Linked DNA regions of Macaca fascicularis. The protein of the gene in region 1 interacts with the protein of each later gene in a pairwise test. Links are inferred from orthologs where the notes say so. Each region holds a gene or a part of one and is shown in the gene's direction. Other genes may lie near its edges.

Region 1 (3,971 bases):
TGGGCTAGGAATCCTCTTCCTGAGTTTCTGTAAGCCCTGGGGCCAGGTCCGGAGGGCCGGGCCACACCTCCAAGAGGCACTGCCCACAGGTGTCAGTTGTCCCTGGAAAGGTGTCCCTGAGCCGGTGGCAGAGAAAAGGGCTCTCCTGAGTGTTCAACTCCCCATCTTTGTGAAGTGATGCCTTGGTCTTCAAGATCTCCAGTGTCTTCCAGCCTGCCCGCCAATCTCCCATCTCTTCCCTTCCACAGCACTCAGGCACATAGAGCCTTCTGCAGCGGCCCCTCCCCAGCCAGCACTTGACAGGACAGATGGGGGCTAATCTGGCCCTGCTAAGCAGCAACATGCTGCTTGGAACTTGCCCCAGCCTTATCAGCGGAGGTCTGCCCCAACACATCCCAGAAGCGAGCAAAGGTTCAGCGCTATGCAGTTGGCAGGTGTCGGGATCATCAGTCATCCCCTTGTCAGCCCCGAGCCTGCTGGGCTTTTGTGAGGGTGCCAGGGACATAGGCTGGAGGCTGGCAGGAGGGGAGTAGAGGTGGGAGGAGGGGAGTCCATCTGCAGCACCAGGGAAGGGATGGATGCTGGCTCCTCTGGTCACCTCAGCTGGAACACTACTCAAGGTCCCTGGCTCCTGTCCTCCAACTGGGGGTCCTGCATTCCCATCCCCAGAGGCCTCCACTCCCCCTGAGCCCTGCAGTCTCTCACTCACTCACAGGGTTTTGAGTTGGATAACACAGTGTAATGATCAAGAAGTGGACTCCCAAACCGAGAACACGGAGCTGTCCCCTTGGGCAGAGGCTCAGGGCTCGGGGCAGTGGAGAAGTCCAGCTGAGGGCACAGTGGCTTGAGCTGCTCTCAGTTCAGCTAGAGGCTTTGGTAGCTGTGCTGTGATGAGAGTTCACTCCCTGCTGCTCTCTTCTGGCATGGAGAGATGAACCTGTAATCCAAGTGTTAAAACCGTGCCCCGGGGGAAAACACTATTAATTCTGAATCATCTCTTTTGTTGCATTAAAAAAAATAGAAGAGAAAAACTTCACACGAGCCACTCAAGGTGTGCAGGCAGCTGTGTTTGTCAGGAAGGCAGAAGGAGTTGGCTTTGCTTTGGGGGAGGAGACGAGGTCCCACAGCACCCTCTGAGGGGAATATAAGGAGCTCCAGAGTGCAGCCTGGCCTGGTACCTCCTGCCAGCGTCTCTTGGGTTTGCTGAGAACTCACGGGCTCCAGCTACCTGACGATGACCACCACATTTCTGCAAACTTCTTCCTCCACTTTTGGGGGTGGCTCTACCCGAGGGGGTTCCCTTCTGGCTGGGGGAGGTGGCTTTGGTGGGGGTAGTCTCTATGGGGGAGGTGGAAGCCGAAATATCTCAGCTTCTTCTGCTAGGTTTGTGTCTTCAGGGTCAGGAGGGGGCTACGGGGGTGGCATGAGGGTCTGTGGCTTTGGTGGAGGGGCTGGCAGTGTTTTTGGTGGAGGCTTTGGAGGGGGCATTGGTGGGGGTTTTGGTGGTGGCTTTGGTGGTGGCGATGGTGGTCTCCTCTCTGGCAATGAGAAAATTACCATGCAGAACCTCAATGACCGCCTGGCCTCCTACCTGGACAAGGTACGTGCCCTAGAAGAGGCCAATGCTGACCTGGAGGTGAAGATCCGTGACTGGTACCAGAAGCAGGCCCCGACCAGCCCGGAACGCGACTACAGCCAATACTTCAAGACCACTGAAGAGCTCCGGGACAAGGTGAGTCCTCAGATGTCAAAGAGAGGGGAGCAGGTGGCTGGTACCCTGTATGTGGCTCTAATGTCGGTGTTACTGCTGACTCGAGGAAATCCTTTCCTGCCCAGGCAACGACTGTCTGGTGTGTAACCTCAGCAAATTTGGAATGCACCTGCTGTCCAGGTGCAGAGGCTAGTGCACATCTTCTCAACTTGGTGGTGCTGGGGGAGGAAGGGAGGGGTCTTGGGAGTCTGGTTAGGACCAACAGGGGCACAGGTGGGGGCAATTATAAAGAGCCAGGGGCAGTAGCTCACACCTGTAATCCCAGTGCTTTGGGGGGCCAAGGTGATAGGACTGCTTGTGTTCAGGAGTTAGAGGCTGCAGTGAGCTAATGACTGTGCCACTGTACTCCGGCCTAGGTGACAGAGTGAGAACCTGTATCTAATGGAAAAAACCAATAATTAAAAAAAAGAGCAGCTCGCCTTCCCTACCTCATGCACCCTGCAGGCTTCTGCATAAAGTATTCCTTCACCTCTTTGGCAAGAATGGGATTGGAGTGTGGCCTCATGAGTCCCAGATGCTAGAACCTCTTGTCTTTTCCTATAAAGAGACCTTTTGTGCCAAAAGTACTGTTGGGTCTTAGGAGACCTGGGAACTCATTACACATTCTGTCACCCACTCACTCACCTTTTTACTCCCTGAGACTGGGTTCTTCATTTGTAAAAGGCCTTCTTTAGCTGCCCTCCAGGTTGCTACTGGCTGGAATGTTCTGTAGATCCATGGCTGTGTCCAAGATGTGCAGGAGGCAGTGACCATGAGCTGTCCACAGGGGGGCTGGTGGAGTGTCTCTGAGAGGGCTATTGTCAGAGCTGACCACACCCCACTCCACCACTCTTCTGGGCAACCAATTCCCACAGGCAGTACTGCCTCCTTGGTCTTTCGTGCCCTGGAGACAAGGAGGGCAACTCCTCAGGTGTCTCAAGGAGGCTGGTATGGGACAAAACCAGAAGTGGACACTCAAGATGCGGCTGGACTCTGCCCACCCCAGAGGCCCTACAGATTTTTGTTGGTGGTGTCAGAGGGGTGATTGTCAGTGAGGGGCTGGCCTTGGGTGCAGAGTGGAGAGCAGCAAGGGAGAGAGAGGAGTCCTCTAGGCACCAACTCTGTCTCCTGCAGATCACGGCCACCACCATCGACAACTCCCGGGTCATCCTGGAGATCGACAACGCCAGGCTGGCTGCAGACGACTTCAGGCTCAAGTGCGCTCCCCCCTCCCTCTCCTCTTCCTGCGTTGCCCACTTTACTTGGCCTTCTCCTGGGTCTGACTCAGGCAGCCAAGACCCCTCCCACTTCCTTCTTTGGCCTCCCTCTCTCTCCTCAGGTATGAGAACGAGCTGGCCCTGCGCCAGAGCGTCGAGGCTGACATCAACGGCCTGCGCCGAGTCCTGGATGAGCTGACCCTGGCCAAGACTGACCTGGAGATGCAGATCGAGGGCCTGAATGAGGAGCTGGCCTACCTGAAGAAGAACCACGAGGAGGTGAGAGCTGGCCCCCATCACCCTTGAACCTGAGAGAGGTGGGGAACTTCTTCCCAAAACGCACTTAAATTGCCCAGAGGGAAAGACAGCGGCTCCAGGAAGCCCTCCCAGATTTTCGCGAGATTAAGTCGGTGGGAGGCAGAGTGGGGCTGCTGGTACTTCCTCATCGTTGGCCTGGGGCTTAGTGGTTCAGAAACACCCCCAAACCCCAAAACCAGGTGTCCTCATGGAGAGGAAGGGGCACTGACCTGTGGTAGCCCAGACCCACAGCCAGGCCAGGTGGCCAGTACGAATGACTGACTTCCTCATTGGCTTTGTGAGCTCACATCAGGGCCCTACAGTCTCGGGGTCCTCCCTTTGGTAGGACCTAGAGCAGCAGAGAGCTCCTCAGAGTTGAGGGGTCCATGTGACCGAACCTCTTCATGTGCAATAGGGAACATCGGTTGGGGTGCGTTAGGGGCAGAGCCAGGATTGGCATGTGGGACCCCAGACTCAGGTTTCTCTTCTGCTCTCCGTCTCTAAATGGGCCCCTCCCACCCTGCAGGAGATGAAGGAGTTCGGCAGCCAGCTGGCCGGCCAGGTCAATGTGGAGATGGACGCAGCACCGGGCGTGGACCTGACCCGCGTGCTGGCAGAGATGAGGGAGCAGTACGAGGCCATGGCGGAGAAGAACCGCCGGGATGCTGAGGCCTGGTTCTTCAGCAAGGTGGGCCTGATCTCCTGCC
Region 2 (4,126 bases), on another chromosome or scaffold:
AACGCTCAATTAGTACAACAGTTTACAATCTTCTCTACCCACAGCCTGATGCGAGGCTCTGGGACTAGAATATTTAGCCAACAGTTCTTGCAAAATTAACTGACTTATAAGCAAATAGTAATTTCAACACCTCACTGCTAATGCTGTAACAGAACTCTGCAGACCTAGGGAGCAAGTACGGATTGCAGAGCACTGGGAAGGCTCTGAAGTGACCTTTGAACTGGGCCTCAAAAAATTTTGGGTTTGGCAAAAGCCAAACCTCTTAGGCTTCAAATTCTAGGCACAAGGATTGTTGGGTTTGACTTCATTATCCAGAAACAATGAGGATACAGAATTGTGATCTCACGTGTAGAGAATTGTGGGGTTTTTTTCTACTTTAACCCCAGTGAGACTTCGTAGAGTATGGGGTAGAGAAAAGGCTCATGAATATGCCTGAAGCCTGACTCAGCACCTTCCTGAGGAACTGACTGCCAAAACGGTAATGGAGAGGGGAAAATATGACCTACTTTCACAAGTTACCTTGACTGCCTCAGGGAAACCTGCTGTGGTAGTGTTTCTTCTGGGTAAAAGACAGGGTAGCCGAATAGTTACCTGGGTGCTGGTGTCAGACTTACGTTTTGAATCCCTGTTTTAACCACTCACTATCCATGTGACCTTGGACAAGTTACCTAACCTTTCTCTTACTGTCCTTTTCCGTAAAATGGGGATAACAGATAGTAGTTATTTCTATGAGTGGTTATGAGAACCAAGCTATTAGATACTGGGAAAGCACACAGTAAGCGTTCAAGGAACTGTTATTGTTATTAAAAGCCTCCTTCGGAAGAAGGACATCGAGGCCCAGAGAGAGAAAAGAACGTCCAGCCACACAGCAAATCCGTGATGAAATTGGGACTGGAGTGTGGGTCTCCTGAGTCTCAGTTCAGGACTCTTATCCCTCTTCCCGAGTCCTCGGAGTTCCTGGATGGAGTCACATTTGTTCACGGCCAGGGAGGAAGGTTTGATGGAGGCCTGCAGGAAACAATAGCCAGGCGCAAAGCCTTCGGGAGTTGAAACATAGCTTCTGCGAGATAGAAACAAGGTTGACGTGGGCACTCGTGCAGAATGACGGGCTCCTTTTGGACTCTGAGGACTACAGCCCCTTATGCACTTCGGGACTGCGGATAGCCCCTGCGTACGGAGGAACGCGTAGACTTTTCCCTGCCCCGCCCTCCCGGCGCGCCCGCCTCCGAGGCCGCCCTCGCTTAGTCCTTCCCAGCAAGCTCCGCGCCGGCGCCGGCTATTGATTGGCTGAGGCGGGAGCAGGCGGCTCGCCGGCAGCGGTTACTCGGGGTTTCCGGTGCGAGGCCAGAGCTGGGGAAGCCGTCGGACGTCGGCGGTGAGGTACGTGCCGTGGCAGCCGTTGGGCGAGACTATTTGAGGGTGTGCGGGCCGGGATGTTCTCGGCCTGTGGGGAAATCACGCCAACTCCGCGCGTGGGCCGGCGGCCGGGACGGGGGGAGGGGGGGTGGCCTGCCTGGGGGGGGGGGGGGTGCGCATGCGCGGGCGTGCCTCGAGGCTGCAGGGCGCGCAGGGCGTGGGTGGCTGCGAGCGCGGGGGGCGCACGTGGGGCCTGAGGGGCGGGGGCGGCGCCGGCGCCGGGAGTCCCGCCACGTCAGTCTCCGGCCCTGAGCCAATCCCGGGCCCGGCCTGCCGCGAGGGGGCCGGTTGTGTAGAGAAGTGGCTCCAGGGAGAAAAGAGGCCCCTTCCCTCACCCGCTGCGGGAGCTGCGCCCCGAAAGCCTGTCCCGGCACGCCGGGCTCCCCTGACCCTCCAAGACCCGAGAGCCGTTGGCGCCCTCTGCCAGGGCCGGCCGGTCCGTTTAAGAAGCTTCGTGCGCCTGCTGTGGGGATTTTCTGATCCAGGCTGCGAAGAATTTCGAAGTCTGGAAAATAGCAACTGTGTTTGTTTCTAAAGGATCTTCTCCTGACCCAGCATCTCTCATCACAATGAAGAACCAAGACAAAAAGAACGGGGCTGCCAAACAATCCAACCCAAAAAGCAGCCCGGGACAACCGGAAGCAGGACCCGAGGGAGCCCAGGAGCGGCCCAGCCAGGCGGCTCCTGCAGCAGAAGCAGAAGGTCCCGGCAGCAGCCAGGCTCCTCGGAAGCCGGAGGGTGTGTGCCAGCTCTGCGTTGCCAGCGGGCAGGGGGTGGAGCTGTGGGGCCGGCCTCGCTTCTGGACTTAGAGGCCGAAGCCAGGTTGTCCGGGAGGAGGGAATATAGAATGAGAGGACAGTGCTGGGGCCGCGGTCACCCCCGAATTCTGGCGAGTTGGCGGAGCCGCTCCCTGTAAGCACAGGAACAGAGTTCTGGAGAGAACCTCTAACGGGATTAAGTCAGGTGGCAGCCAAACGGGGCACCCAGTCAGGAAATCCAGGTCCGGTTTGAAACACCTCAGCCACTAGCAGCTAACTGCCCTTCCTGTTTGAGGCATTTCTAGAATGATCTGAATGGTAAAAAATGGTTTTGTGAGGGGGAAGGAGATGGACTAGAAGTTGCACCATGCCATCCCTGTGTGCTGATGCTTTACATACTTTTATGATCATAACAAACATGTTCGAGTGGTAGTGAGAAATAGTTGTGTCATTTTACAAGTAAACAGAAGTGAAGCTTAACTATATTATATTACTATAATTTCTTGATTCAAAAGATGTTTCGAATTTAAATTCTGACAGGAACTAGATTTGCTGAATAATACTCCATTCTTGCTTCTCAGTTTCCATAAAAAAAGAAAAGTTAGGCAACATTTAACTCAAACTGATGAGTTTGGCTGGACCTGAAAATTCCCAACCAGTGGTATAATTTGTCTTGTTTCTCACTCTACCCCTCATCCTCTCCTGCTGTAGGGGCTCAAGCCAAAACGGCTCAGTCTGGGGCCCTTCGTGATGTCTCTGAGGAGCTGAGTCGCCAATTGGAAGACATACTGAGCACATACTGTGTGGACAGTAACCAGGGGGGGCCTGGCGAGGATGGGGCACAGGGTGAGCCAGCTGAACCCGAAGATGCAGAGAAGTCCCGGACCTATGTGGCAAGGAATGGGGAGCCTGAACCAACTCCAGTAGTCAATGGAGAGAAGGAACCCTCCAAGGGGGATCCAGGCACAGAAGAGATCCGGCAGAGTGATGAGGTCGGAGACCGAGACCACCGAAGGCCACAGGAGAAGAAAAAAGCCAAGGGTTTGGGTGAGCAGAGGGTGGCTCTTTGTGAGGCTGGTGAGGGGAGGGAGTTTGGACTTGACGTTCTCTGGACCAGTCTGTTCCGCCAGGATTCAAAGGAAAACGGTACTTCTCAGAACAGCAAGTCACTCTAGTGTAATCAAAGCCAGGGATGTGGGGGCCACGGCATAGAGAGATGCAGGGGTTCCCAGCACAAGGCCTTCTGGCTTTTGGAGCAATTGGGGGTTGGAATGGGACCTGTTCTCTCTTTGAGAAAATGGAGATGGGAGGCCAGGGTGGGCTCCTGTGCCAGCCAGTACTACCTGCTGTGTGATCTCGGGTGTGTCCCTTCTCCTCTCTGGGTCTTAGTTTATACTTCTCTTTACAGTAAGAAAATTAGACTAGGCTGGAGTTGAAAACCCAAATGTCTGCATAAGCTGGGCTGGCCATGGGGCCACATGAAGATGTAGGCTACTTTATCCAAAGACTTTACTGCTTCCTGATTAGTTGCTCTCAACTAGCCAACTGAGAGCAGGCAAAACTGCAGGCTGGGTGCAGGCTTCTTTTATTTTTATTTATTTATTTATTTATTTTTTGAGACAGTCTCGCTCTGTCACCCAGGCTGAAGTGCAGTGGCACGATCTCGGCTCACTGCAAGATCTGCTCCTAGGTTCACACCAATCTCCTGGCTCAGCCTCCCAAGTAGCTGGAACTACAGGTGCCCACCACCACGCCCGGCTAATTTTTTTTTGTATTTTTAGTAGAGACGGGGTTTCACTGTGTTAGCCAGGATGGTCTCGATCTCCTGATCTCGTAATCCGCCTGCCTCAGCCTCCCAAAGTGTTGGGATTACAGGCGTGAGCCACCGTGCCCAGCCTTCTTTTATTTTTTTAATTATTTTTGTTTGTTTGTTTGTTTTTTGAGACGGAGTC
Region 3 (4,238 bases), on another chromosome or scaffold:
TGGGTGACGCATGCCTCTGGTCTAATAAACTGGGTTTCAACCATCTCCTCTTCAGTGTTGTTCACTTATTTGAAAACATATTTAGGTATTCTCACTAAGTGCCTAGAGCTGAGCTTGGTTTGGGGCCAAACAATTAGGGGATGAGTAAGGAGAAGGTTTGAATAGGGAGACTGTGGTCCTCCTGGGATGGGACGGCTGACCATCGTATCAGGAATAGTTTGAACCACTGGGCAGGGAAAGAGGGAGGAGTCAAAGGCAACAAAGGTCCAAAACAGAATCCCCATCACGAACAATGCTTTAGAGAGAGAGCAGAGTCAAAATTCAAGATAAACTGGAACTTATTATAAAATCTGGAAGCAGGCTGGCACGGTGGCTCACGCCTGTAATCCCAACACTTTGGGAGGCTGAGACGGGCGGATCACTTGAGGCCAGGAGTTCGAGACCAGCCTACGCAACATAATGAAACCCCCATCCCTATTTTTTAATATTAAAAAAAAATCTGAGGCCAGGCACAATGGCTCACACCTGTAATCCCAGCATTTTGGGAGGCTGAGGCGCGCAGACCACTTGAGCTTAGGAGTTTGAAACCAACATGGGCAACATGGTGAAACCCTGTCTCTACCAAAAATACAAAACAGCCTGGCATGGTGGTGCATGCCTGTGATCCCAGCTACTCGGGAGGCTGAGGTGGGAGGATCACTTGAGCTTGGGAGGCGGAGGTTGCAGTGAGCTGAGATGGTGCCACTGTGACAAAGACAGACCTCATGTCGAAAAAATAATAATAATAATAATCCGGAAGCAGGTTAGGTCGGAGACAAAGTTAGGTTGAAGTTCCCACGTGAGGTAGTTATTGAGGCACTTTATCTGTGGAATGAGTCCTGGGCTATGAGCAAGAAGACCTGGAATCTTGGCTTCGGCTTTATGACTAACTTGCTGGTTGACCTTTGCCAAGTCGTTCACCTGTGAGTTCAGCTTTCCTATTTGGAAAATGGAATAAACTGTGTTTCCCTCCTCAGCCCCTGATAGTTATAGCAGTAAGAAAATGAAACGAAAAGCAATCAAAGCGTTTTGGGAAGTTAATGCCATGCGCCAAGATGAAGCTATTACTCCAAGCACCTCATCATCAGCGGGCTGGAGTCGGGGTTGAGACTGGGGCTGAGGCTGTGGTCCGTCCCCCTTTCCAGGTCCTTGTCTACCTCCCGTCGGCCTGGGGGCGCCCACTCACGGGGCCTCTCTATCCCAGAGTTCTTCTCTATGGTTTTCCCTCCAGGACCGTGAAGGCGGGAGGGCGTGGCCAGCACGCCTTTTCCGCTACTCGCTCCTCTCTAGGCGACAGTCTCGCTGCCCTGAGCCTCCCGTGCCGGCCAGCCGGCCGGGGGAACAGGCGGGCGCTCGGGGGGCGCTCAGGGGGCGGGGGGAGTTCCGGTTCCGGTTCTTTGTGCAGCTGCATCGGCGGCTCCGGGAAGATGGCGGCCCGGGCGGGTTTCCAGTCTGTGGCTCCGAGCGGCGGCGCCGGAGCCTCGGGAGGGGCGGGCGCGGCTGCTGCCCTGGGCCCGGGCGGAACTCCGGGGCCTCCCGTGCGAATGGGCCCGGCTCCGGGTCAAGGGCTGTACCGCTCCCCGATGCCCGGAGCGGCCTATCCGGTGAGTGGGGCAGGAGGAGGGACGCGCGGGCCGGGGGCGGGGCCGAGCGGGGACGTGGGAGTGACAGGGGTGGGGGGAGAAGTAGGAGGGACTCCCTTGGGAGGGGTTCGGGCTCTGGGTGGGGGCTGGGGGAGGCAGTGCGCAGGAAGAGAGGGGGAGGCAGTTGGTGTCCACACCAGCTCCTAGGGGCATTGTTTCCGTGGGGAGTCGGTAGAGAACCAGGGTGGGTGAAGTGGGTCCAGGGATACCTATACGAGGGCCGGAGTGCAGAGGGGCTTGAGCAGCTCCATTGATCAAAGGAACACAGAACGTGTAGCTGACAAATTGAGGTCAGCTTCTAAAGAGATAGTAGCTAGCAGAGTAAATGTGGAACTGGCGATGTCCGATGTGTCCGATCCAAAATAGACCGATAATTTGAGTATAATCTGGCTCTCGCTTAGCTTTTGGACTCTTATTTTTCTGTGGAGTCACTGCTGGAGCAGAGGGTTCTCGTCTCATTGTCCTCCATTCCATCCGTAAACCTTACTTCATTCAAAGAACTCAGGCGTTCCCTGCTTTTCTTTCTTGGTGGGGTTTAGCAGGTGAAACCATGACATCTCTGGGTCCTCTCCCCTCTGTAGAGACCAGGTATGTTGCCAGGCAGCCGAATGACACCTCAGGGACCTTCCATGGGACCCCCTGGCTATGGGGGGAACCCTTCAGTCCGACCTGGCCTGGCCCAGTCAGGGATGGATCAGTCCCGCAAGAGACCTGCCCCTCAGCAGATCCAGCAGGTCCAGCAGCAGGCTGTCCAAAATCGAAACCACAAGTAAGATGATCCTGGGGCAGAGGGAGGGAGGGAGGGAGCCTGGGAGTACACAGGTGGTGGGATTACCTGAACCAAGAAGTGGTGGTGCTGTGTCAGCAGATGGTGCTACAGGATGATTGAGAATGCTTGGTGGTGGTGGTGGTGGTGGTGGTGGTGGTGGTGGTGGTAGTTCTTTGAGAGCAGCTTTGCAATCCCTTCACATTACTATAAATGGACATGCTGACAGCTTATTTTCACGTTCTGACTAGTTCTGTCCCAACCTGATAATAGTGTTTATTCCCAACAGTGCAAAGAAAAAGAAGATGGCTGACAAAATTCTACCTCAAAGGGTGAGTCCAGGCTATCTGTTTTCTGGAAAGTGTGGTAGGTTTGAGTATAGAGATGAATCATCCTAGATTTCAATTAATTTTTCTGTTCCTAAGATTCGTGAACTGGTACCAGAATCCCAGGCCTATATGGATCTCTTGGCTTTTGAAAGGAAACTGGACCAGACTATCATGAGGAAACGACTAGATATCCAAGAGGCCTTGAAACGTCCCATCAAGGTAACACAGGAAGTTACTAAGCAGAGAGCCAAAGGAGAGGACCCAGGAACCTTCAGCAGGCTTAGGATGAGAAATCAAAGGCACAGCACAACTCTCCTTGGCATTTAAATTGTATCTTTCCCTTCCGCCTACAAACTGAGAATTACATTAGGAGGATAAGAACAGAATGGCAAAGGGGGAGGGGCTCTTGATGTCTCTTGCACTACAAATATACCCTTGTCCATGTTTTTGCTGTAACTGCTCTGCTACCTTGGGAACCTGGCACCTTGCGTGACTTTGTCCACCTGGCATCCCACTGTATGCACTTGTACTTAGGCTGATGGCCAGTACTCCTCTTCTAAATGGAATCTTCATCCACCCACCCAAGGGACTGGGTAGACAGTAAGCCAGTCTGTTAGGAATAATTTTGGGGTTTGGGGAGACTCTTGTCTTCAACATTAGACCACTGAAGCCCCACGATCAATCCTGTTTCTGCCTTCCTCAGCAAAAACGGAAGCTGCGAATTTTCATTTCTAACACTTTCAATCCGGCTAAGTCAGATGCCGAGGATGGGGAAGGGACGGTGGCTTCCTGGGAGCTTCGGGTAGAAGGACGGCTCCTGGAGGATGTGAGTTCAAGGTCCACAGTGGTTGGCATCTAGGGTGGGAGCTGCTGGGAATGAACAGTGTTGTCTGGTCAGCAGGAAGCCTAACTGGTGCTCACAGCTCCTTTTGGGAGCAGTAGGGAGAGGGACACTGTTCCCTGCACTGAAAGACAATGGTCCTTTGTGTTTGCCCCCACACCTTTGGCCTTCACTGGTATCATGTGGAGAACCTTATTGTCCTGGGATCTGATTTGTGATTTACCTTCCTCTTGGTGCTGCTGGCCATTGGATTTAGCCGTATCTGTAGATTATTTAGTTTTTGTTTTGTTTTGTTTTTAGTCGAGTTTGCACTTCATTTGAGGCCGTGTTTCCTCTCTGAGTTCTTGTGGTATCTCCATCTTCTCAACTTTCATTGGAGGCACCCCATAGTTTAAGTAGGATAGATTTCTCTTGACAGGCTCTTTGTTGCTTCCTGGGGAGCATCAGCTGACAGGTGATAGCCCCCAAACTTCCCAACCCAGAAGCTCCTCGGGGAAGCTCACCTTTCTCTCATTCCCTTACATTCTCTTGCTCTATTTTTAGCTGCTCGCAGGAAGCTAATTGGAATGCACTTTTGCAGGAGAACCAGGGCTCAGTGTCAGAGCCTCCTTCTCTATATA
Region 4 (4,242 bases), on another chromosome or scaffold:
CGGTTATAAGCCATTGAAGTCAGTCAGACTTAAGGACAACTAGACAGAGCTCCCATTTTCTGTCATCTGGGCAGGAACCAATCTCCTTTTGTATCAAATGGCCTTCTGGTACATTCTGGAATCTTGCTTCCTCATCTATTTAGTGAGGCTAATACCGCTTACTTGTAGTTTTGTTGTAAACTAAGATAAAGCCTGACATATTACTCATTTTAAAATTGTACACACAGACCCTGCTTTAACCAGATGCCTGCAAATACTCAGGTTTTCCTTCTACATATAGAAGACAACTTATCAGCTGCCAGGGCTGAAGCCAGCAGATATGGCTAAATGACAGAACAAAGGATTATGCCAATAAACTATGCAAAGCTTCCTTGCCCAGAATATAAATCAAACAGAGTAAAAAGCGAGTATATTGGCTCCAGGAAAAGGAGCAAGGACAGCCAGTTTTCAGGCGACCTCGAATTCTCTCCGTTTAGGATTCACCAACCCTAAGGTCCACTGGGTCCTTCAATCTGAGGGTCCATCCAGGGCCTTCCCTCCTGGGGTTGGAGATGGCTAGCTGCCTGATGGAGAGACCCCAGGCTGCTCAGCAGCAACGCCTGGCACAGCCGAGACAGCCTCGTAGTCTGCGATGCGGCGCTGTACCAGGGCAGGCATGAGCTGCACGTAAGCGGCCATGAGGCGGTGGTTGGAATGGATCAGCTTCCCAGCACAGCTGTGCAGACAGGCCTCCTAGAAGGAAGATAGGGTTTAAGCGGAGGACAAAGGTGTCCTGTCGGGCCCGCCTCCGTCCTTCCCCATGCACAGCCTAGGGGTGAGGGTCTGGGAAGGCCAGGACCAGAGGTAGGGGAAGTGGGGTGAGGAGGGAAGCAGTCTACCGCTAAACTCTGTTTGCAGCGTAACCTCCTTACACAGTTCCCCACCTCCTCAGCGTCCAGAGCTCGGTGGTGCAAGCTGGGCACACAACGCTGGAAGCAGAGTTCTGTCATCCGATTGTAGACCAACAGGAAGTCACGCAGCTGGGAGAAAACCGGGACCACGAACTCAGCGATATGTGCCCCACACTTCTACTCAAGGTCGCGCCGCCCAAAGTTTCCCAGGCCCGCGCACCATAACCCGAAGTTTCCAGCCCTCAGATCCCTGGCTCTATGGGGTTTCCGCGATGTGTGCAGGAATGCGAGCTGAACGTCTGGCCCCGAAACGACTTAGTTCTCACTCACGTTTCTCAGTTGCTGTTGCTGCTGCTGCTGCTCCATCACGCCACCGGCGCATGCTCTACGCCACTTCCTTTTCAGCTTCTCGGTGCCGCCCCGGAAGTAACCTCTCGCTGCTCTCGAGAACCAAGCTAGAGTATCGCCCTGCCCCGGCTTCGACGTCACTTCCGCCCTTATAATCTGCGACGTGGCCGGCTTCTTCTGCCCGGAGAGGACGTCACTTCCGCCGAGTCCCTGACCTGCTGCTAGGATCGCGACGGGAACTGGAGCCCGAGGTCCCCGCGCGGCCCGGGCCTGGCGCCCTGAGGGGAAGAGCGGCCCGGCCCGAGGTGAGAGGGACATGCTTGGGCGACGGGAAGTTGAACGCACAAACCTGTCCAGAGGGCAAGATGCCCCGAGCCCTGGGGAAGAATGAGGACACACCTGATGTCCAGGTGTATGGGGGTGGGGGCGGGGACTCACATACCTGGGAGACTGACTGTGGAAGGGATCACCGATATCCTGGTAAAGACAGGCTTTTGCCAGAGACTGGGAACATACACCAACTGATCTAACTAAGGCCTGGTGGGGAGGGCCCAAGGAAGAGGAGTTGTATGAGACGGAGGAGGGGAGACCCCCTGAAGGAAGGGGGAAGAAACACTAAAGGAGTGAGAAAGGCCAAGCAATGGAGAACAAACCTGAATGGGGGGTGAAGACCTGAGCCCTGGAAAGGGTCCATCTCCTGCTCAGCATAAACACGCCTGCATGGAGATAAGTTCTAAGAGAGCTACTTTCCCTCTTCACTGTTGTATTTTCATTGTCACAAATAGTACCTGACACAGAGTAGGCACTCACTAAATGTCTGCTGAATGACTGAATGAGTGTAGAATAATCACCAGAGGCCTGGTGAGGTTGGGGGCTTGTGAGAAGACACCGTGCTTTGGTGTGCCTGTGTACAAATGTGCATTTTGGAGGGGAGAAATACATATACCTGAAGAAAGGAATGATGACCAAACGCTGGGACACTCAAACCCTGGGACAGCCTTTAAAGAAATGACAGAGGAGGCTTCCTTCTTCTAGAGTGCTGGCCAGTGCCCAGAACTTCTGTGTTGGGCTTTGCAGGGTGCTGGGGTGGAGAGTTTTACTCCAATACCTTTCCTAGCCATGACGGACGGGATCCTAGGGAAGGCAGCCACAATGGAGATCCCTATCCACGGGAACGGTGAAGCCAGGCAGCTTCCTGAAGATGATGGGCTGGAGCAGGTGCTTCTGTTTGATTCTTCTAATTGTTTCAATTTAGGAATCCAATTTATAAATCCTGGGTTCTCACCCTCCATTCCAGTAGCCTTCCCCTGAACTTATCTGACTCCCTTAATTTTACATATCATTTTGATTCTGTGCAGACTTCCCTTGTGTAGTGTCTTTATGATGCTTGAATCCAAACTTGTTCCCACCTCCAAAATGCTTCTGCAGTCCCTATGTTCCTGAAGCAACCCCTCTTCTCTGGCCTATAGGACCTCCAGCAAGTGATGGTGTCAGGACCCAACCTCAATGAAACCAGCATTGTGTCTGGTGGCTATGGGGGCTCTGGTGATGGACTCATCCCCACAGGTATGAACAGAAACAGGAAGCTTGGGTGGAGGAGGGGACAGGAATGGTTTGGGGAAGCATAGGATATGTCTAGGAAAGCTTGAATAATGTCTGGAGATCTTAGGAACTTCTGCTTGTAGGAATCCCATGGACTCTCCTCAGCCCAAAAGCAACTCCCAGCATTGTCCATCCATTTCCCTTTTGCCACTTGGCCCCTGAAATGGCTCATTCGTCCTTTCCCTGCCACCACCTGAGTCAAGTTAAGACCTACTTCACAGGAATGCCCCCGCTCTACAGCTTGAGGCTGAGTTGGAACTTTGTGAGGCTTTTCAGAATTTTTAGATTCTAAAGTTTAGAGGAACAAACAGCCCTGAATCTCACACTAAGATTCCACATGGGAATGCAACCAGGTTTCTTGTTATCATGACCCACCATCCTTGACTCCTGCTGCCCCCAAACTCAGTGTATTTTCTTCTGTTTCCTCTGCCCCTATACACCAACAACTCCCTGCAAACCTCTCCTCTGGCCTCCAAGGAGGCCATATGTATATCAGGATTTGGTTATCACTGTGCAAGGTCCGAGTTCCTCCTAGTAAACAGGAGAATCCAGTTGTCTCTAGCATCTCCTTCAGGGAAGTCAATTTCATGTGCTGGGAGAGAAGCATGGGTGGGGCCACAGAGGTGTCTGGTGTATCTGAGAGAGGCTGGTGTCAGAGAACTTGATCCTTTAGGGTCTGGCCGCCATCCATCTCACAGCACCACTCCTGCTGGCCCTGGAGATGAGGTGGCTCGGGGCATTGCTGGAGAAAAGTTTGACATCGTCAAGAAATGGGGCATCAACACCTATAAGGTAGGATTTGAGCACCTCTCACTTCCCCAAAACTCGTTATGGGTACCTTTTTCCCCTTTCCTCATGATCGTAATATCCCATCTGTGGCTGAGAGTAGGAGCCTGGGTGGCGTTGGGGTAGATACCTGTTGTGTCGGGAGGCTATTAGGGTCTCTGATCTATTGCCCCGTTTCCCAATCAGTGCACAAAGCAACTGTTATCAGAACGATTTGGTCGAGGCTCACGGACTGTGGACCTGGAGCTAGAGCTGCAGATTGAGTTGCTGCGTGAGACGAAGCGCAAGTATGAGAGTGTCCTGCAGCTGGGCCGGGCACTGACAGCCCACCTCTACAGCCTGCTGCAGACCCAGCATGCACTAGGTGATGCCTTTGCTGACCTCAGCCAGAAGTCCCCAGAGCTTCAGGTGCCTCACCCAGACCAAAGAGGGTGGGGGAACTGGGCATGGGCCCTCCCAGGCAGTCATTCGTCATCCTCCCTCCCTCCTGCAGCCCACAGGGAGAACCCCTTCAGGGTGGGCCCAGCCCTACCCCCAGCAGCACTCACCTGTGGAGGCAGCCTAAGGGTTTGTACAGAGGTCCAGAAGTTGGAGGGGGTGGGGGAGGGGGCACACT
Region 5 (2,908 bases), on another chromosome or scaffold:
GTGGCTCTTTTTTTTTTTTTTTTGAGACAGAGTCTCATTCTGTCGCCCAGGCTGGAATGCAGTGGCTGGATCTCAGCTCACTGCAAGCTCCGCCTCCCGGGTTTATGCCATTCTCCTGCCTCAGCCTCCCGAGTAGCTGGGACTACAGGCGCCCACCACCACGCCCGGCTAGTTTTTTTGTATTTTTTAGTAGAGACGGGGTTTTACCATGTTAACCAGGATGGTCTCGATCTCCTGACCTTGTGATCCGCCCGTCTCGGCCTCCCAAAGTGCTGGGATTACAGACTTGAGCCACCGCGCCCGGCCTGTTGTGTTCTTTTTAACTTTTTATTGAATTACAACGTATATTAATAGGAGAAAAGTACATGTAAGTGCAGAGTTCAATGACATATTCACTAACTAAACACACTTCTGTAACCAGCATTCAGATCAGCAAACACAGCCTGAACAGCACCTCGGAAACTGCTTTCTTTCTTCTGCTTCCTCCCCCTGGGTGTGCGCTGTGCTGCCCTCTCACTCAACTGTGGTTCAGCGCAGCAGCCCCTATAGGTGTTGACACATGGCCGATAGGGTCACAGTCCTGCTGGGCCCTCGGGCTCACTCAGGAACTGGGCGCTCCCAGGGGGTCCTCCAACAGCTCAGTGCAGCATGCTGGGGGGTCAGGGCCAGCACCTGTCCCTGGGGCCTCAGGCCTCCCTTCCTTCTCACAGCGGCCAAGATCGCAGGTCTCTACAATGACTCGGAGCCACCCCGGAAGACCATGCGCAGAGGGGTGCTGATGACCCTGCTGCAGCAGTCGGCCATGACCCTGCCCCTGTGGATCGGGAAGCCCGGTGACAAGTGAGGGCAGCAGCTGCGAGGGAGGGGCTGGTGCCCAGGGGCTGGGACTGACCCTTTGTTCTGCTCACAGGCCCCCACCCCTCTGTGGGGCCATCCCCGCCTCAGGGGACTATGTGGCCAGACCTGGAGACAAGGTGGCTGCCCGGGTGAAGGCCGTGGATGGGGACGAGCAGTGGATCCTGGCCGAGGTGGTCAGTTACAGCCATGCCACCAACAAGTGAGTGACACCAGCCCCGGGGCTGCTTTCTGGTCACCGAACTTGCCTGGGCTGCCGCTCTGCTTCCCGTCTGCACAGCAGGAGAAAAGCTCCCCAGAGGCCAACTGTGCAAGGAGCACCAGGTCCTCCCCCATCCTCACTCCCCGACAGGGACTGCACCCCTGGCTGCATCCAGCGTTTTCCTCCTTTTGTCCACAGGTATGAGGTAGACGACATCGATGAAGAAGGCAAAGAGTGAGTGTCTAGGCCAGGGCAGGGCACGGAGCCTGGGGGCAGCCTAACGTCTGGGAAGGAGCATCCCCACCTGGCCACATGTTGATATAAGCCCCTCTTCTCCCAGGAGACACACCCTGAGCCGGCGCCGTGTCATCCCGCTGCCCCAGTGGAAGGCCAACCCAGAGACGGACCCCGAGGCCTTGTTTCAGAAGGAGCAGCTCGTGCTGGCCTTATATCCCCAGACCACCTGCTTCTACCGTGCCCTGATCCACGCACCCCCACAGCGGGTAAACCAGCCTCCATGGGAGAGGCCATGGGTGATGTCAGGAACAGGCTGATCAGACAGACAAGGGGTCCTCTACCCCCTCCCTCCCCTTGTCCTTATCTCACAAGCTCCAAGCTGACAGCACCCACCAGCTGCCCTCCCTCTTCCACTCCAGCCCCAAAGGTCACCATCCCCTTGCAAGCCCTGGCAGTCTTGGCAAGCCCTGAGTCAGCAACTCCCTTTCTGCATTCCTAGGAGAACTAGCTCTGAGATGGGAAGCTCCTGCCCTGAGCCCCGGGCTCCTACCCCCTTATGCTCCTGGTGACATGGGACACAAGCCACCTGAGGCTAGGATCCCTACCTGCCACCATCTGGGTTGCCCTGGGTCCCTGAAAGGCAGCAGACCCTCCAGCTATGGCCCCATTAGGAAAGGAGTCAGCGCCCCTTCCTCTCCCCACCCTTTTCACTGCCCTGGGTCTCCAGCCACTGAGAAAAGAGCTGTGTAGCAGCAGGGACCGGGCCAAGACATCTTGACCCCAGAGTGAAGGATGATGAGAGTGGCTGAGAGTCCACAGCCCAGAGGCTCCTGTGGTCTAGGCTGGGAGAAGGGGGTGCCTGTCCTGGCCTGGGGCTCTCTGAGCAGCCCTCCTGTCTGCCTGCCACACAGCCCCAGGATGACTACTCGGTCCTATTTGAAGACACCTCCTATGCAGACGGCTATTCCCCTCCCCTGAATGTGGCTCAGAGGTACGTGGTGGCTTGTAAGGAGCCCAAGAAAAAGTGACGCTGCCTGGTGGACTCACCATCCCCCAACGACACAGGGCAGGACAGCAGAGGATGTGCTGGGATTAAACAGACATTCCTCCTCCACTCGTCTCCTGGGTTTTACTTCTCCAGACCCTCTCCCCTCTCCAAATAGGGCAAGTTGGGGAGCTGGAGTGGGGAGGTGGCCGTATTTGGCCCCAGTGGGCGATCACTCTTTCAGCTCATGGTTTCTCTTGGCTTGAAATGGAGACTCTGCATTGAACACAAATCATACTTTATTCTTGAGCCGCTTGGTCAGGCTTGATTCGCACACTCCCTCAGCAGTGACCCCGGGAGCCCCTCTCACAGCTCAGAGCGGAAGCTGAGGCTGCAGCCTGCCATCTTCTCCGCATAGTCCGCATCGAAGCGCTCATTCTGCGCCACGGTGAAGGTGGTTTTCCAGTCCCCAGTCATTCCTGGAGGAGGAAGGCAGGGAGCAAAGCTGGAGTCTCATCCCAGGGGAGGCCCCGAGTGCCTATGGGGAGGCTCCAGCCGCTGCTCCCACCCGCCCCAAACCCCCGTGCTGGCCAGCACCCACCTTTCCTCATGAAGGGGGAGATGCTGTG
Region 6 (3,946 bases), about 5.2 Mb from region 1:
GTGCTGTGATTACAAACATGAGCCACCGCGCCCGTCCTCTCTCATAGTTTTATTGTTCTATTTTCCACAGACCCTTCCTTCCTTAATTTTCATGCCTCTTTAATATTCTGTTTCTTTTACCTCACTGACCTTCTTTTTCGTTCTCCTACCTTTTACCGTGGGTGTCTTATTACCCTGCTTAGGGAGTTTAGCATGTCACAGACCACTATCTTCAGGCAGAGGACCCCACATAGTCTCTAGTCCTCCTGATTGTCTACCCTCTCTCAAGTTCTGTAACTTCAGTTGCCTCTAGGACACCTTCACTGGGTTTTACAAAACCCTGTTACCTGGAACTGAATATATTAAAAGCTAAGATTCCTCCCCAAATCTGCATGTTGTGCCAATTTTCCTGGCCAACTATCTTATCTGTCCCCTGGTTTTGGGACCTTATTTAAACCTTTAAATCAATTTTTAAAAAATTGGAATCTTGATGAATGGTGCAAAAATCAATGGATACAAAGGATACGCCGAGATATGTAAGTCTTCCGCCCACTGGTTCCCTAGGCACTCAGTTCCCCTCCCAGGAGGTAACCACTGTTGCCAGCTCGTAAGAGTGATTTTTGATTCCTTCTTCTGCCGGCTCTATCTCAAGTCCTTCCCTGTCTGTGAGATGTGTGCCCTTTCCTTTCCAGGCCCTAGTGAACTGATATCTGGTTGAATTTATATATAAATATTTATATGTGTATATTTTCTATACATATATAACATCTCTCCCTATGGCCTTCCGGCCTGGAGTTTTCATCACGTCGCTTCCTGGATGAAGGAACCTCGAGGGGTGAGGGGCAGGGGTTGGGGGTGATGGAGAAGAGAACCTAAAGGGGACTTAGGTAGGGGGTTCAGAGTGGCCAACTGGCGTGACGCTCTGGCAGGATTCCTATTCCTATTCCTCCCACCTCAGGCCCGCTTCTAGTCCTCTCATCCAAAAGCCTCTCGTTTCCAAGGGCCGAGACAGAGACAGAGACAGCGAGATACACAGAGACAGAGACGCCGAGGCACCAGCATCCCTCTCCCCCTTCGGTCCCGCCCCATCTCTCTGACGGACACTATCGCTCAGCCAATGGTGCTCACGATATGCCCCTGAAGGGCCAATGAACGCCAGAGGAGGGCGGAAGATTCCCCGCCCCCACTTCTAGGCTTGGTTGAACCGTGCAGGTAGGTCCGGGGCTGGGGGAGCTGTCTTTGGCACTGGTGCCCCTGGGGGTGGGGGCACGAGTGGACAGGGGTGATGGTGAGGTAGAGGCGGCGGCCCCGACACGACGAGCTCGAGGGAGCGGCCCGGCTGGGAGGCGGGGGGCGGCGGGGCCCGGGGAGCGGGCGCCGCCGAGGGCCCTGGAAGCGGCGGGGCTCGGGGAGAGGGACGCGTGTGTGGGGCACGGGGACCCCCGCCCAGCGCCCACTCGTAGGCCTGGGCCGCAGGCTGCCGACCGAGTGGCCGGGGGGCCTGGCTGCCCCGGGGGCGGGCCGGGGCCGCGGCCGGGGGCGCGGAGCGGAGCTCGGGGCGCCAGGCCGAGCCGAGGTGGGACGGACCGACGCGGAGAGGAAGGGAAGCCGCATCCCGCGGGCCGCCCCTCCTGAAGCGAGCCGGGCAACGGCCGCGGGCGCCCCTGCCCTGAGCCCACCCCGCGCTCTCCCCTCCCTAACAATGGGAATGGGGCAGAAGGAGGCGCCCCACTGCGGAGGGGTGAGGGGTAGGTTTGGGACTGGGGTCCGCGGTGGGGGGAGGTGCGATCTCGGGCTCTCGCCTCTCCGCTCCCTCTGGCTCTGGAGTTGGGGGCCCTGGTGGGGCTTTGAAGCCTGCCTGAGACTTGGGTCAGGAGTCAAACTGCCGCCCCCCGCTCCTCCCCCAAAATCCGGTGAGCGGTAAGGAAAGTGATGCCAAGTCTTCGAAGCCTCAGTGACAAACGCATAGCAAGAACACATCCACTCCAGAGGTGTTTATTTTTTATTTTTATTTAAATAAGGGTACTTTTCGACATTTGTTTTTAACGAAGTGGGTGCTGTTATTTTTGTCCCTACGCGGGCAAGCCTCCATTTTAAGCGAAGCAGTAACTGGTTAAGCTGGAATTGTATTCAGGCCCAGGACTTGAACGAGGATCCTACTAGAGGTCATTTAGTCCATCCTCCAGCCTCCAGGCAAATTTACCTTCCTCCTACCCTCAAAATTAAGTTGCTCGGTCTGCTTTTAACGATCTCTGGGGAAGAAGGGTATTTTATTTGTTTCTAGTACTTCAGTCAAGAATAGGTTTTACTTTTCATGTGGAATTGACTCTGAAACTTAAGCATAATCTTGGGACAGTCGGGATGATTAGAGAGGTTTTACTTTACTAAATATAATTAAATGTAGCAAGGGTCTTTTTTTAGATGGTTAGTTAACAAATCACGTTTAGTGTTTATGAGGTACCCTGGAAACTTTATTCTCTCTGGGATTTTGGCTGTTTGATAAGCAATTTTACATTATCTAAAGTAAGTGTTACATATTTATTTCTCTTTTTATATAACGTATGTTTCTACACATATGTACGGAGACACACACACATTTGCCGTTTTCTAAAGGGGACTGTATTTTCTATACTTTTTTAGTGCGATGAGGCAAATAGTACTTCAAAATCTCTGCCCATGTAGCTTAAACTATTTGCATTTTCTTGATTATTTTTTAGTCTAAATGAAAATCCTCTCTTTCAGATACCTTATCGAAACAAAAGATTTTCCTATCTGCTCATACTTGGTAACCGAGGGAATTACTAAGACTTCTTGCTCATTTCTGAGTATTGTCTTTATATCCTGACACTATGAATGCTATTTGGATGCCTCTTAAGGTAAGATGTGTTATTTTTTCATTACCAGCCTCATTTTATTCATTTTTCTTTAGAACTTTGTAATGCTTGTAATTCTTGAATTTGCTATTCTTCAGTTCCTTTACCTGCCATTTCTCTTGCCTCTTGTGTTTGCTTCCTAGGATTGATTGGCTGTACCTTACTTTGCATTGCTACTGTTCTTTGATTATCGGTGTGAACGTTTTAATGAAGTTCTCAAATTAACTTCCATTATAATGAAAGGCAGTGATCTTTTTAACTTTAAATTATGGCAACTTACATAGTTATAAAATTCTGTTCCAATTTTAGGATAGGTTGGCAATTCAGACATCTAGGTCCACTTTTCAAACAGGTACTTTAGAGTCATAGGTACTAGGGTGTGTCCCACTCTTGCAAATCAGTAGCTGATTCATGTGTTACAAAAGATGTGTCATTAACCATTTGTTTACTCTGAAACTGCATATAGTATATTAGAACATTCTAAGACCTGCTGGTTTACACGTATGACTTTTTCAGAGTCCTCCTGCTGCACCCCAGTCCTTTGCGTGACATTTCACACTGTTTTTCTCAACAGGTAGCACTTATGCCAAGTTTATTTCACAGGGTAAACCTCATTTGGACAGTGTGGACAGATGACCTTTAGATGAAAAAGCTCCCATTGATGTGGTGGTTCTCCAGTCTCTTTGGCTTCTCTCATCTTTTATACATAGATGGCCAAAGAACCCTCCATTAGGACTAGGCAAAGGGCAGAGCTTAAGACTGAAATGGGTGGCTTCTTTGATTTTCTTGTGACTAAAAATACATTTAAAAAAATTAAATATTTTTAAATTTTACAAACAAAAACCAAAAAAGACATAAGGAGGGTATGGGAGGAAGGACAGAGAAGGATAAGCAGTCTTGGAAACCCTCCACCAGCTTCGCCTTCCTTCAGAGTTGGATACTAGCTTAGTTAAGATTGTTGTGTGCTAATCTGTTCTGTAGACTTCCAGATTAATGCAGAGGAGAAATCGGACAATAATGCAGTCTGCGTAACCTAAATATCTGGACTTGTGGGAAATCTTAGGTCATGTAGACTGAGTTCTCATCTTCATTTA

What was found.
Region 2: the proteins of KRT15 (region 1) and TXLNA interact in binary tests that used the Homo sapiens proteins (3 or more experiments, as listed by UniProt). The two-hybrid records come from large-scale screens. The link is inferred for Macaca fascicularis from reciprocal best matches to the Homo sapiens genes KRT15 and TXLNA.
Region 3: the proteins of KRT15 (region 1) and SMARCD1 interact in binary tests that used the Homo sapiens proteins (3 or more experiments, as listed by UniProt). The two-hybrid records come from large-scale screens. The link is inferred for Macaca fascicularis from reciprocal best matches to the Homo sapiens genes KRT15 and SMARCD1.
Region 4: the proteins of KRT15 (region 1) and ARFIP2 interact in binary tests that used the Homo sapiens proteins (3 or more experiments, as listed by UniProt). The two-hybrid records come from large-scale screens. The link is inferred for Macaca fascicularis from reciprocal best matches to the Homo sapiens genes KRT15 and ARFIP2.
Region 5: the proteins of KRT15 (region 1) and SGF29 interact in binary tests that used the Homo sapiens proteins (3 or more experiments, as listed by UniProt). The two-hybrid records come from large-scale screens. The link is inferred for Macaca fascicularis from reciprocal best matches to the Homo sapiens genes KRT15 and SGF29.
Region 6: the proteins of KRT15 (region 1) and KANSL1 interact in binary tests that used the Homo sapiens proteins (3 or more experiments, as listed by UniProt). The two-hybrid records come from large-scale screens. The link is inferred for Macaca fascicularis from reciprocal best matches to the Homo sapiens genes KRT15 and KANSL1.

What each region holds. Positions count from the first base shown.
Region 1 is NC_088390.1:62,557,296-62,561,266, reverse strand, and holds the start of KRT15 (keratin, type I cytoskeletal 15), read left to right. Parts: upstream 1-1,171; 5' UTR 1,172-1,234; coding exon 1,235-1,732; intron 1,733-2,884; coding exon 2,885-2,967; intron 2,968-3,089; coding exon 3,090-3,246; intron 3,247-3,790; coding exon 3,791-3,952; intron 3,953-3,971.
Region 2 is NC_088375.1:202,849,163-202,853,288, reverse strand, and holds the start of TXLNA (alpha-taxilin), read left to right. Parts: upstream 1-1,326; 5' UTR 1,327-1,380; intron 1,381-1,951; exon of another isoform or gene 1,952-1,953; 5' UTR 1,954-1,985; coding exon 1,986-2,154; intron 2,155-2,885; coding exon 2,886-3,221; intron 3,222-4,126. UniProt on the Homo sapiens protein: May be involved in intracellular vesicle traffic and potentially in calcium-dependent exocytosis in neuroendocrine cells.
Region 3 is NC_088385.1:56,914,782-56,919,019, forward strand, and holds the start of SMARCD1 (SWI/SNF-related matrix-associated actin-dependent regulator of chromatin subfamily D member 1), read left to right. Parts: upstream 1-1,438; 5' UTR 1,439-1,466; coding exon 1,467-1,643; intron 1,644-2,263; coding exon 2,264-2,451; intron 2,452-2,737; coding exon 2,738-2,780; intron 2,781-2,873; coding exon 2,874-2,996; intron 2,997-3,480; coding exon 3,481-3,603; intron 3,604-4,238. UniProt on the Homo sapiens protein: Involved in transcriptional activation and repression of select genes by chromatin remodeling (alteration of DNA-nucleosome topology).
Region 4 is NC_088388.1:59,599,422-59,603,663, forward strand, and holds the start of ARFIP2 (arfaptin-2), read left to right. Parts: upstream 1-1,442; 5' UTR 1,443-1,543; intron 1,544-2,315; 5' UTR 2,316-2,357; coding exon 2,358-2,456; intron 2,457-2,707; coding exon 2,708-2,804; intron 2,805-3,513; coding exon 3,514-3,632; intron 3,633-3,812; coding exon 3,813-4,034; intron 4,035-4,119; exon of another isoform or gene 4,120-4,193; intron 4,194-4,242. Other genes in the region: TIMM10B (mitochondrial import inner membrane translocase subunit Tim10 B), read right to left, coding at 556-732, 924-1,019, 1,221-1,256. UniProt on the Homo sapiens protein: Plays a role in constitutive metalloproteinase (MMP) secretion from the trans Golgi network. May have important functions during vesicle biogenesis at certain cargo subdomains, which could be predominantly utilized by secreted MMPs, such as MMP7 and MMP2.
Region 5 is NC_088394.1:27,850,909-27,853,816, forward strand, and holds the end of SGF29 (SAGA-associated factor 29), read left to right. Parts: intron 1-710; coding exon 711-840; intron 841-910; coding exon 911-1,057; intron 1,058-1,255; coding exon 1,256-1,291; intron 1,292-1,397; coding exon 1,398-1,560; intron 1,561-2,205; coding exon 2,206-2,322; 3' UTR 2,323-2,408; downstream 2,409-2,908. Other genes in the region: sulfotransferase 1A1-like, read right to left, coding at 2,646-2,758, 2,881-2,908. UniProt on the Homo sapiens protein: Chromatin reader component of some histone acetyltransferase (HAT) SAGA-type complexes like the TFTC-HAT, ATAC or STAGA complexes.
Region 6 is NC_088390.1:67,802,848-67,806,793, reverse strand, and holds the start of KANSL1 (KAT8 regulatory NSL complex subunit 1), read left to right. Parts: upstream 1-1,146; 5' UTR 1,147-1,191; intron 1,192-2,721; 5' UTR 2,722-2,855; intron 2,856-3,946. UniProt on the Homo sapiens protein: Non-catalytic component of the NSL histone acetyltransferase complex, a multiprotein complex that mediates histone H4 acetylation at 'Lys-5'- and 'Lys-8' (H4K5ac and H4K8ac) at transcription start sites and promotes transcription initiation.